Linked DNA regions of Mytilus edulis. The protein of the gene in region 1 binds, or shares a complex with, the protein of each later gene. Links are inferred from orthologs where the notes say so. Each region holds a gene or a part of one and is shown on either strand. Other genes may lie near its edges.

Region 1 (6,916 bases):
TATAAGTTACACCTGTAAAACAAAACCAATATCTTGAATATGATTTATTAGTTACACCTGTAAAACAACACAATTATATCTTGAATATTATTTATAAGTTATTCCTGTAAAACAACACATAAATCTTGAATATGATTTATTAGTTACACATGTAAAACAACACAATTATATCTTAAATATTATTTATAAGTTACACCTGTAAAACAAAACCAATATCTTTAGTATTGTTCATTATTACACCTGTAAAACAACAAAAATCTTGAATATTGTTTATAAGTTACACCTGTAAAACAACACAATTATATCTTGAATATTATTTATAAGTAATTCCTGTAAAACAACACCAATATCTTTAATATTATTCATTAGTACACCTGTAAAACAACACATATATCTTGAATATTGTTTATTAGTTACACCTGTCAAACAACACAACTATATCTGGAATATTATTCATAAGGTACACCTGTAAAACAACACATATATTTTGAATATTATTTATAAGTTACACCTGTAAAACAACACCAATATCTTTAATATTGGTCATTAGGTACACCTTTAAACAACAAATTTATCTTGAATATAAGTTATTCCTGTAAAACAACCCATGTATATATATCTTGAATAATATTTATAAGTTACACCTGTAACCCGTGTGACATGGTTCACTTAACCTCTGACCCATTTTCATATTTGATTGATAGATGTTCAGTTTTTTGTTTGAATATGTCAGATTCCTCTTGCAAAGAGGGGCGGGAAAAAAACCTGATGATACCATTGCAAAAACAAAAATCATAAACCGAAGAAAAGCGAATAACAGCACACAAAACACAAAAAAATAGAAAGCATTAAAGACTGAGCATAAATTGGTGTAATCTCAGGTGCTCTAGAAGGGTTAACAGATTCTGCTCGACATGTTGCACCCTTGAGGTCTTGTTCATTGAAGTACAAAACCGATGAGAAGATCGATACATTCGGTGGTTCACATTCGAGGAAAAGAGGACGGAATTGTGGTTACGAATATTTATCGAAAATCCGTCGTCCTCTGTGAAACAGATGTTCTATAACCATACATAGCGGTCATCCAACTCGTGATGGCGTCCGTGAACATTTCGAAGGGATCGTTTCAACTTTGATGTGACACTACGTGTAAACGGAGAACGAACTGTTTATAAGTTCAACCCCGAGATGTAGCTCAATCTGAATTTGTCTGAAATATTTTGTTGACTTGTTCTAAGATGTGTTTGTCTCCCATCTGTTTTCGCGTTGTCATATTTCATATTGTCTTTCTTTTATTTCTTTTTTACCTCACCTGGCCCACAGGGCCAAGTGATCTTTTCTCATCACTTGGCGTTCGTCGTCCGTCGTTAACTTTTACAAAAATCTTCTCCTCTGAAACTACTAGGCCACATTTAACCAAACTTGGCCACAATCATCCTTGGGGTATCTAGTTTAAAAAAATGTGTCCGGTGACCCGGCCAACCAACCAAGATGGCCGCCATGACTAAAAAAAGAACATAGGGGTAAAATGTAGATTTTGGCTTATATCTCTGAAACCAAAGCATTTAGAGCAAATTTGACATGGGGTAAAATTGTTGGTCAGGTCAATTTCTATCTGCCCTGAAATTTTCAGATGAATCGGACAACCCGTTGTTGGGTTGCTGTCCCTGAATTGGTAATTTTAAGGAAATTTTGCCGTTTTTGGTTATTATCTTGAATATTATTATAGATATAAACTGTAAAAAGCAATAATGTAAAGTAAGACCTACAAATAGGTCAACATGACCAAATTTTTTACATTTTTCATAAATTTTGTTAATTTTTGTAAAATATTTTCCTCTGTTACTACTGGGCCAAGTTCATTATAGATGAGATAACTGTAAGCAGCAAGAATTTTCAGTAAAGAATTTAAGTAAGATCTACAAACACATCATCGTCACCAAAACACAAGTTTGTCATGAATCCATTTGTGTCCTTTGCTTAATATGCATATACCAAGCTGAACGACACAGGCTCTTTAGAGCCTCTAGTTTTAATTGTCCAGCTGTTCTTTTCTTCACTTTTTATAATCTAGTCTTAACTTCATAAAGTTTAAATGAATGAATAGCAAGGTAATAAATATTTCCCTTCGTACATTTAAAGCCCTGCATTGCAGTGAAATAGTTCTTATTTCCTTGAAGGGAAAAAGTATATTTCATTTTCCGTCTGAACTTTTGCTTTGTTGTGTACTGTACTCAGCTTAGGAGGCCATGATTGACGGTATACATAATTATATTTATTTATTGATGATCCATGGCACTTATGTCGGTCGATATGTCATAAAAAAAATGCTGTAAATGACTGTTGCGCTATTTGCCTGAATAAGTGAATGTACATGTACTAAACTTATATAGCTATCTCATGAAACCCTGCTGTCAGAGAGAACATTGCATTTTAAGTGAATAAAAAGAAAAAAGAAAAGGAAACTATTTACAAGAAGATGCGGGCATGTTTTATTTGTCCCTTCTGTACATCTCCAGATTGTTTCCTGGTGAATATTCCCCCCAAATATGCCATAATGGTCCTCATAATACAACACAATTTCAATGTATGCTGCAGAATTCTGGTTGGAAGAAATCTTTAATATTCAAACCAGAAAACAAACGTACTGCGTCATAAATATAAAATAATTACGATGATCAATAACGTCAAAAGCTGATACTTATTTTTTTCTGCATTTTTTTCAACCTAAAGAAAGGAGACATTTCAATTGGGGCGAGATGGCAAACAAATTTGGGTGAGTTGGTAGAAAGTGGTGCATGTTGGTGAAAAGTTGGGGTGAGATGGTAAAAAACTTGGGTAAGTTGGTCTTTACTTACCAATAGAAAAAGGTCGTTTTGAGGAATAAACTCATCATAGATACCAGGATTGAAATTTGGTATTTGCGCTTCGTCTACAAAAGACTCATCAGTGACGCTCGAATAAAAAAATATATAAAGGCCAAATAAAGTAGTCCGAAGTTAAAGATCATCGAGAACCAAAAAATCCTACTGAAGTTATGCCAAATACAGCTAAGGAGAAAAAAACCCATATCCCCCTTGAAGTTAAATGGCTGCTACCTAACTGCAACCGACCGTGCGAAGGTTGTATACAGCCAGGCAAGGTCGTTAAAAATTCCCATCATCAAAAGCCCCCAATTAAGGAACTGCTGTTCGTCGTCGAAATTCATCACCAATTTCACATAACTTGCCGAGTAGTCAGCACCTCTGTTATAATTGATATGGTCATAATTAACTATTAAACAAATCTTTGTTTTTTAAAATAATATAAGGCTTTTCTGTCTCAGGAATTATTAAAGGAATAGTCAGAATTTTGTTTAAATTTATTAAGTTTTTCGACACTATCAAGAACTATCAATAAAAAAAAAATTTCTCAAAATTTAACACTATAAGGAATGGGGGAAATCTGCATTCAAAATATTTTTTGTCATCTACTTGAACACGGATTTTTTTTTCTACTTGAACAGAATATTTTTTTCCCATCAAATTGGGGATCAGAATATCTAAAAAAACAAAACAAAAAAAAAACTTTGAAGTTAAATGGTCGTTCCCTTTAGCTAAATATCCAATACAATCATTTTCTTGGAAAATATGCAAGTTGAATATTAAATTTCAATTTTTTTAGTGTTAAAATATGAAAACTTAACAAAACTTTATCAATTATCGTCCTTTGTGAGACCGTCTTATGGAAATAAAACATCTTCTATTTGTTATTGTTGTTATTTGTTTAATTTTAGATTCACATACCCTTGATGGGATCTTGAGAAATAAAAGTTCCAAGTTTCGAGTACCAAGGTAAAAGATGGGACGAGTTGGTAAAAAGATGGGACGATTTGACATAGATTTAAGGATTCGATTAAGCATGGTCAGGTTAGCTCTTGAAACCACCACAGTTCAAAACGTCCGATATTGTTGTAATTTAACACTGATTGTCCTTGGAAGGCCGTCCGATGGCCTTTACAAACGAAGATTATTTGCCTAGTCATGAGGAACTGACAGTTCCAGAGCTTCCACTGACATCGTCTGTCCTTAGAGCAAGCGGTGTGTTCTTTGGAAAATACTGTGATAATGCTTCGAAGGTAGTTCTTCTTTTAATTTTAATATAACAGAAGTCCAAATATAACAGTTTTACACTACAGTACAGACAGGTTTCTCCCCTTGAAAGCATACCTTTATAGCTTATTTTCCGAGTCCTTAAATAAACCAATGGTTTCTACTGACCCCTCATCTTAGAACGTTGTTATGCAATTTCTCATCACATAACAGGTTGGGAACTAACCCTCTATATAGTGATTATACCTGTATAAAGAGATAATCCTTCTATAGAGGGGTAAAATTATCTCTCTATAGAGGGGTATTTTTGTTAAGACTGGATTTAAATCAAAATAGGGCAGAATGGCTTTCCCTTCTTATTATGGCAGTAACCTGGAACAGTTGATGCACCAATTGATGTACTTAATTTAATTAGTCCGAGATTACTCTGACGTCCAACGGCTGTTTTGCCAGACAAGCTGGGGCCGTGGGACGTCAGAGCTCGTCCCATATCAAAAAGTGGATATTTGCCCACCCAAAATAGATGCGCTGCTTCGTCGCTTCTGGTGCCGACTGACAGCCTTGGAATTATATAAATCGGGCATCAATCTGTTCATTTTTCATTTATCTTTTCATTTATGTAAGTTTCACCTACCTGCCAACTTTTAATTTTCCATATTTTAACAGTTTTCACAGAGACCCATCGATTTCTGCATTTTGACGAAGCAGCGCATCTATTTTGGGTGGGCAAATATCCACTTTTTGATATGGGACGAGCTCTGACGTCCCACGGCCCCAGCTTGTCTGGCAAAACAGCCGTTGGACGTCAGAGTAATCTCGGACTAAATTTAATATGAGGCAGGCATTACCTGTGAATGGGGACGAAGTCTATGATTTTTTTTAAAATCAACAATGTTAAAAAGAGAAACGGAAATACCGTAACTTCTCCGATTTTGGTTCTGTTGTTAGGGATTTTAGTTGTGACGTTATTTAAGTTATGACGTCATATTCAATGTAAACAAAGAAACGCTGTCATCAGGTAACGTTTTTTTAATAACAAACATTTTTTTTTTAAATGAATTAGTATTATTTCCTTTCTTAGACTGATAAATATACATTTTATTCAAAGTCTCATGTAAACAAGACCGGAAACGAAAGTAGATTTCAGCACAGATCTGGAAATTCAAAAACGCGACAAAAATAAATTGAACGATTTTGAGTTCATTAGTACAATGAAAAATTTGGGAATTTTCCCGATTTTTTAAAAAATTTTCTACTGTATTATAGGGGACTTCGTCCCCATAATATGCACATGCTCAGTTTGATGTTTATAATTATCTGACTAAATATAAAATCTATTGTTCACCATGATTGAAAGCTGTGATGATCAGGTAAATTCTACTCACTTATGCCTCACTGAACAGAACTTCTATTGTTAGATTTAACATGAAATTTAAGGTCAACTATTCCTTTTGTTGTTGATCAGGTGTTCAGATACATGTAGGTATACAATAGATTGCAAGTTTTGTCACTTTAGCAGAAAACTGGTTATCCCAATTTTTAGTAAAGTGCATATGTTGATGCATATAATGCTAGAGATTATAGCCAATATAACTAGAAAATGCAATTCTGCCCTAATTTGCTTTAAATCCAGTGCAATCAAAAATTTTATCCCTCTAAAGAAGGATTATCCCTCTATACAGGTATAATCACCATACAGGGGGTTTGTTCCCAACCTGCATAATACTGTAATATGGGGACGAAGTCCCCTATTATAGTAGAACGGTCTCACTAATTAGCGACAAGAAGCGACTAGAAGAATAATTTTAGCAACAAGAAGCGGCAAGAAGAATGATTTTAGCGACAAGAAACTATTTAGTGACAAGAATTTTTTTATTTTTTTTACTTATTTCAAATAAATATTAATCTCATTTGATGTTCCACATTGTGTGTACTGTTATTAACTTAGGGCACTACAGGAAAACGAAACTTTTGATCATATTTTTCAGGAGCCAAAATGTGCACAAAAGGTGATCCATTTGGAAGTCTACATTTTTTTACCTTTCGTAGAACAAAAGGTGGTATTTCATCTTTTGTCATTGCAATAATGTCAACTTGCTACTTTTGATGTTACAAACATACAAAAGGTAAACAAATGTCGTCTTTTAACTTTTGTTGTTTAAAAAAGATTTTAAATATCACCTTTCACCTTTTTCGAAATTTTGAAAATATGCAAAAGGTTGTCCTTCATCGTTTTACACATTTTGTGAAGTTGTTTATGTTACCCTTCATCTTTTACACCTTTCCAAATCTTCCGAGATTATTTAAATATTTTTTTTGTAGGAGCAAAACATGAGATGTTAATCTAAACACCTACTACAAATATTTAAAAATAAGAAAATAATATGGGAAAAGACTAAATCATAGCATCATAGCATTAACCTACACAATCCCTTTCTTCCTTACAAATAGATGGTCCCCAGCGGGGGACTTAGTGAAACATAGGACCCTATGGGAAATGCATACAAATGACTTCTTTTAGAGAACCACTGAATTGAATGAAACCAAACATAGCATGAATGTTTCTTTTGGGGTGCTGGCCAAGTGTTGTTACTTTGTGGCCAAATTTTTACCTTTTTTTATATGAATTTAAAAACCAAAGTAAAGTCAGGTGAGCAATACAGGCTCTTGAGAGCCTCTAGTTTTCCTCACAACTGTTTAATTTCTTCATCTTTTAATATTATAAAAAAATAATCAATTTATTATTTCTGCCCGTATCTTAAAATTAATTCAAATACATATTTCTCTATATGTATTAATAAAAAAAAAAGAAGATTTTTTGTCAC
Region 2 (7,071 bases), on another chromosome or scaffold:
ATTTTTGTTTTATGCATAAAGTACTTACATTGAACAATTATTTATTTGTGAATTTTATTATTTGATTATTCATTGTTTTCTTGTGCACATTAGATAGTGTGTGTGTGTTGTTGAATGAGTTTGAATGTTAAGCAAGGGATGGTGCAATAAATGTCTGTTATTAAATTCAATAAATATATTTAAAAGCTTTATGTTTATATTAATTATTTGGCCATGATAATCCCTGTTTATAATGTAGATCTATTGAAAACTCTTTTTAGAATTAAATGAGATGATACAGAAAATGATGTAAATGTCAACATATGAGAGATATGAAAAAGAAGATGTGGTATGATTGCCAATGAGACAACTCTCCAAAAGAGACCAAATGACACAGAAAAATACCATAAATGAAATAGAACATTAATCATGATAATGGAATATGTAGACAGCTCTCTCACAAGCAAAAAACCCCTAATTGTAAAAATATAAGGGCATACACTTCAGGCACAGGGGCCACATGCAACTGCATCCACACAGCACAAGTAACACACCCTGCAGTATATAGAGTGCAAATAAAACATGATAATTCAGATACATGTTGTACATTTGTGGTAATCTAGAGTGCTGCATCTCACACAATAAAGAATTTCAAGAATAGTGCTCAAGATTTTAGTTTCTAGAGGGTGCTCATTGTTAATGGTTTTTCCTTCATTTTACTCCTGATACAATAACTTTAAACAAACACTATTCATTGTTGGGATATATTGCATATATATACACATGGAAAAAAGTATTACAACACCAAATTGAAATTGAAATTAAAAAAACACTCTTTATTTTTTTGTGATAAAATTTGTTAAAATAGAACTAGTTAAACATTATTTAAGTATCACATGAGTTTCATCAATAGATATCGACTCGATAAGTTTTTATCTGCACGTGCAGCTACTGTACCCGTAAACAGCAAAACAGATGTTTTCATCCTCATTGTTTTCAACATTTTAAATAACCAAGTTTTTAAAGTTATGTGATTGACACCTTGTAATGGGTCCTTGACAACTCTTAACTGCAGCAAGATGGCAGATTATCAGCATAAGAGAAGCAGGGATGTAGCTGTAACAACTGCACATATTGTTGGTCATCACCATTCGTCGTTTTGAGAATAAAAATCAGGCAATAAACGCTGTTAAAGACCTTCCAAGATAATGAAGACCCCCTATATCATTTGCTAGGGGAAATCAAGTATAATGAAGGTTGGTCAGAAGGAAACCCATTGCATACAGGACAATCCTGAAAAGAGAGCGGTGGCCAAACAGGAGCCTTCTAGCAAGAACTGTTCGAGATCGACTCATCGCTACTGGTTATCGTGCGACAAGACCATTTCGGAGACCTTTGCTAACAAACAGACACACAGTTTTCCGTATGACACGTAGTGCAGAGCTTGCCAAAGTTGGAAATTAGCATCACGGAGGGAGATCCAATGTTCAAATGGAATTCGTTTCATCTTACTTGGCCCGATCGTAGCCCGGATTTGAACCATATCGAGCATATTTGGGACACTATTGGGCGGAAAGTGCGCGAAAGGACACCCCAGTTCAAACACATCATGAAATAAACAATGCCCTTCATCAGAAATGGTTGCTGCTACCTTAGCAACAAATTAGTTGATTTATGGCAGGAATCAGAAGACGTTAAGATGCGGTTATCTGTTTGAATGGAGGCTGCTTACAAAGCACTAATTCTTTGGCGTAAAACGAACAACCATGATGTGAACAGTCATCTGAACATTAATTTTGAAATGTCTGACATTGTAAAGTTCGACTACAGTAAAAGTTGTAAAATGCATTTTTTTGTACAAAAACCCTTGATTTTGTTATTAAAATTGTGGTTATATTAATCATTTTTTTTTCAAATATTTTTTTGTTCGTTTCAATGCCAATGTTATCATTAACTATGTTTCAATAATATTATACATATATTTTATTATATTTCATCTAAAAAAAGAGGCTGATTTTTCAAGTTTTAAAAAATCAAGGTGTTGCAATACTTTTTCCATATGTATAGGTCAATTGGGAATGAGTTTGCATCTTGTTTTGTTATGGAATCATCTTCTCTAAAACTACTGCCTATGGAGCAAATTTAACCAAAGTTGGCCACAATCATCAATGGGGTATGAAGTATACAATTGTGTCCAATGACCTGGCTTGCTGACAAACATGGCTGATTGTCAGTTCTCTTGAAAATTGCTATAAATATATAAAAACTAGCAAAAAAATGACCAGCAAAACATGATCAAACTTGACTGAAATTCTTAGTCTACTGCTTATATGAAGTTATTGCCCTTTAATAAATATTTTTTTCATTTTTTCACATTGTTGCCTTTTATCTCAAAAGCTATATAATATAATAAATAGATAGAAACTTTAAATGGCTTAAATGATAAGTTCAACAGGATCTATGAAAAAAAATGACAGCTGAAACTTAAGTTAACTCATTATTGGAGTTATTGCCTTTTAAAGTTAATTTTCACCAATTTTTTTTGGCATTTATTGCATATATTCTGTAATAATAATGTAATCCTAGATATCATCCTCCTGATCATGGAGGGTCATGGGTTGGAACTCATCCCATTTTTTTTACAATCAATGCTTTTGAATTTTGACATGGTTGGACTCCCCATTTAATCTTGGTTGACACACCCCTTCCTCTCCCCCTTTTAAAATGGCTGAATCCATCCTGAGTATGTGGTGTGGTATAAAAATGAATCCGGGTTCGTTCGCGCCCATTCACGTTCGCACCCACTCATGTTCGCCCCCTTTCATTTTCGCATCCTACATGTTCGCGCCCAATTTTAATTGGTTTTGTGTTTAATATAACTTTGTTATCAAGTTTTGGCAAGTAGTATTCTTATAAGTATAAGTGTTTTCATTGTCTTAAAATAAAATGAGACAGCATTTTTTGTGGTTTGAATAAATCTTAATCATGTTTTGGATAGTGTATTGTTAAAAAAAATAATATTCCTTTCTAAATAAAGTGGGATTCTGTCAACGTTTTATTTTGTGTTGAATAAGTTACTATTAATCATGTTTTGGTTAGTGTATTGCATAACTTTGTTTCATTGACTTGTTTCAAAATGAAGTGAGATTCTGACTACGTTTTCTTTTTTGGTGTGTTGAATAAATTTTATCATGTTTTGGTTATAATAGTGTATTGCTATATTTTATTGTTTCATTGTTTCAGATCAAAGGGACCAAGCTGTTAAAAACAATTATCTTTTGTGTTTTTCATTTAAAATCTTTTACTGAGGGGGGATAGGAGGGGTCTTGATCCCGAAATCCCGGACTTGAAAAAACGAAATCCCGAGGCCCCGAATTTAAATAAAGCAAATCCCGACATCCCGAAATCCGAAAAAAAGGATTCCCGGATCCCAAAAGGGTCAATCCCGAAATCCCGAGCTTAAAAACACCCGATCCCGGAGTCCCGATAAAGGTCCTATCCCCCCTCTTTACTCATACCAAGTTATAAATACCTCAGTATTTACACGAAAGCAATTAAAACAACCATCATGATTTTCCAACTATTAAACTGGAATTGGAATTAAAATTGGGCGCGAACGTGTAGAGTGCGAACGGACCTTGGATGCGAACATGCGAGGTTCGAACGTGTAGGGTGCGAAAGTATATTGGGCGCGAACGGACCTGATACCTATAAAAATAGGTGGTGGGAAGTTGACTGCTTTTAAAGGACCAACTTTTAACAATTTTGGCTGAAAGGAAAAGATTTTAACAGCGGTGGAACTTTTTTTCCCATGTAAAGACTATATAAAAATCATATTTTTCTGCATTGAAAGAGTAAGAAATTAAAAAAAAAATTCTACAGGACCTAAATCCCATTTATAGGACATTTGGTCACTTCAGTTTTTTTCTAGAATATTAACTCATAGTCTTTGGTTTAGAAAGAAAATATTTGATAAAATCAATAGTGACTGTCTGAATGTCCTTGTTCGACTGTTTTATTTTGCTTAATTTCAATGTTACACGGATTAAAAACTTGCTTGGTCCGAAATTGGTCAAGATATTCTATATGTGCCTTCAGTTATCTCCCTTGCGACCTCCAAATTTTGGAGTCTCCGAGGATGTCGAGGATCGGGTACACTCAAGATATGCCCCCGCCTGGGGGATACAAGCCGATACAATATGAAAAACTAATGCCTAAACAAGGAAATGGTATTATTAAATGCTTTAATGTAGTCATAGTAAACATGTATTCGTGACTAGCCTGGGTAACACACCTGAATAAATCAAATTTATTTTTTAAATCGTCATTATAATTCAGTTATTGGTGATTCTGATTCAGTTCAACAATGCATTTATGATCACAGATTGAGCCAGGACCCAGGCTAGTCCACTGATATACATCTTTTCAAAGATTTTTACCAGTTACCAAAATGACATGAACAATGTCAAAAATAGACCGATACATAAAGACTTTTTAAAGTATTATCAAAATATGACGGTGTTGCCATCAAAAACTTACTCTGTGTGTGTACCTGTCTAATGAAAATTTTAAGGATTGCGTAGACCCACACAGTACATGGTTAAACAATTTCTTCACCTGCTTTTTTATTACTAATTATAATCTTGATCATTTGATGATAATACATTTAACGTGACGGTACCCAAATTGCACCTATTTTGATAGTTTTTTCAACTACGTTTTTTTATGATCAAGACAAAAATTTCAATTTTGTGTTTATTTTGTAGCTGTATCCTTCTTTATTATATAGGTACACCAATTTGATTTTCAATTCATATGGAATCATAGAAAAATTGACCTGAACTAACCTCCAAACCATCAATGATTCTGTAATGAGGAGTACCCAAAATGCATCCATGCTTAAATTAGCATCGACAAAAGTCGAATAACAAAGCTTTTGTTTATTTTTTTCAAATGTTTTGAACAATTGGATATTGGTCCATGCCTACTCAGGTTCTTTTTTTAAGAAATGGATACTTGAAACATATATGTATTTGCTAATTTTTAAAAGAAGACGTTTTGATGACGTTTCGGTACATTTTGCTTTTTCAGTAAACACTTCATCTGTTGATAAATATCGTGAACGTTTTGTGTATATCTTAATATGTTTACCTATGTTGAAAGACATGCATATAGTATCAAATCATAAAAATACAAATTGTTTAGTCTCTAGGAGATCTTGTGAGATTTCCGCTGCTATTTTTGCTAAATAGGTGCAATTTGGGTACCGTTACGCTAATAGCCATATATAAAGTTATATAAAGTACTAAACTCACATCAACAGCCGATGATATTTGCATTGCCATAATTTATTCACACTCTTCTTATATACATATCACACTTGGTGTTTACAGTTAATTAGTCTTCATTGGCAATTGCTGTCAATCAATATCTATCAAATTTTGAAAAGGCCTAAGCCTGGGACTTACTTCAATGAGTGATTTTCTAAATCACTAATTCAAGTAACATTATGTCCATAAAGGTTGGAAGAAAGGGTTGTCTTTCTTTATTAATCACTTATTTAAGTAGTACAAATTAATCACTAGAAAGAGTGATTTAATTTTATTGTACTTTAAATATAGAACACTAATGATCCAGGGACTAATTATGTTGCTAAAATTATCAAAACCAACATCTGTGTTGATAGGATGACCGGGTCATTTCAGGTGATGACCTTGTACTGAATCTAGGATAATGACATAAAAATCACTTGTTTTAAGTATTACTAGAACACACCCGCGAAATCGCGGGCATTCAGAGCGTAGTTTAAAGTACATGTAAAGTGTTGTTGGAAGAATTTTGTAAAATACAGAATGACTGGAGAATTTCAGCAAAAGTATCATAAGTCATAGGTTATTGGGGACAGGAAAATGTTTTTTTACCCTCCACCTTTATTTCCAAAGTTCCCAATTTTTGGTTTTCTATAAATTTCAATATGCAGAGGCGGATTTAGGGGGGGGGGGGCAGGGGGCCCCGGTCCCCCCTTTTTGGGAAAAAATTGGTTGCTTATATAGGGAATCACTGAAGCGTGACTGGAGCGGGCCCCCTCTTAGGTCAGTCAGTGGGCCCCCACTTATGAAAATTTCTGGATCCGCCACTGATATGAACATACATTTAGTATGTTATGAACATTTATCTAAGTAAGGAGCCTGTAATTCAGTGGTTGTCATTTGTTTATGTGTTACATATTTGTTTTTCGTTCATTTTTTGTACATAAATAAGGCCACTAGTTTTCTCGTTTGCATTGTTTTACATTGTCATTTCGGGCCTTTTGAAGCTGAGTATGCGGTATGGGCTTTGCTCTTTGTTGAAGGCCGTACGGTGACCTATAGTTGTTAATATCTGTGTCATTTTGGTCTCTTGTGGAGAGTTGTCTTAACATGGCAATCATACCACATCTTCTTTTTTTTATGTAATCAATGAATTTTGTAAAAGATTTAATGATTTAATGACTGAAGAATTTCAGAAAAAGTATCAAAAGTTCACATGAATAATTTTAGCGCTTATCTGTATATTATGAACATTCACTACTATATAAATAAAGCGTATTTACTTTCAATTCTAAGTTTACTAATCGATCCATGGTGATCATTGATATAGTATACAGACCCTCTCTATTTAATAAACTCTGTGACCGCCGTGGATAGTAAACTTGAAAATGATAGCACATAAAATTCTGAAAATACACTTTATTCGTAGTACATGTATATGTATGTTCAAAGTATACAGAAAAACGCAAACCGGAAGTCTAATCTGACTTAAAATTTCGTACAATGACGGGACAATATCCGGATGCCTTTTTTCTTGTTTTTCTCCTAAAATAACTCAATCTGAATAATCATATGAATGGATGACAAATGCGACTATGCACTGTACCTATAGGACACAGAGGCGTGTTGATTAATTTATTCTGGAAAGAAGAGAAACGACACCAAAAATGAGGTCTTCTCGTTTAATAGTTTAGATACATTTGTACCTCAATTTCCTTTCCAAAAATCACTTCTTTAAGTACATGTATCATTATTTTAATAACCCCCACTCATTTCAACACCC

The links.
Region 2: the proteins of NADH dehydrogenase [ubiquinone] 1 alpha subcomplex subunit 8-like (region 1) and NADH dehydrogenase [ubiquinone] 1 alpha subcomplex subunit 13-like are in contact, whole or in part, in a cryo-EM structure (PDB 8ESZ), measured with the Drosophila melanogaster proteins. The link is inferred for Mytilus edulis from reciprocal best matches to the Drosophila melanogaster genes ND-19 and ND-B16.6. Residues at the interface, in NP_001163296.1 of Drosophila melanogaster: Val2, Ile3, Thr4, Asn5, Asn6, Thr7, Thr8, Leu9, Pro10, Glu11, Glu12, Leu15, Asn16, Val17, Gln18, Glu19, Leu20, Leu27, Arg28, Ala31, Phe32, Leu34, Gly35, Asn42, Phe45, Met46, Arg49, Asp54, Pro55, Arg56; in NP_001284943.1 of Drosophila melanogaster: Arg63, Asp64, Ile66, Glu67, Met68, Ser70, Ala71, Asn73, Val74, Ile75, Phe76, Pro77, Ile78, Val80, Ala81, Glu82, Arg83, Asp84, Arg85, Phe87, Leu88, Arg89, Leu91, Arg92, Arg93, Arg95, Val110, Gly111, Val118, Glu124.

What each region holds. Positions count from the first base shown.
Region 1 is NC_092345.1:73,026,301-73,033,216, reverse strand, and holds the start of NADH dehydrogenase [ubiquinone] 1 alpha subcomplex subunit 8-like, read left to right. Parts: upstream 1-3,911; 5' UTR 3,912-3,988; coding exon 3,989-4,117; intron 4,118-6,916.
Region 2 is NC_092347.1:63,213,440-63,220,510, forward strand, and holds the start of NADH dehydrogenase [ubiquinone] 1 alpha subcomplex subunit 13-like, read left to right. Parts: upstream 1-4,052; 5' UTR 4,053-4,117; coding exon 4,118-4,208; intron 4,209-7,071.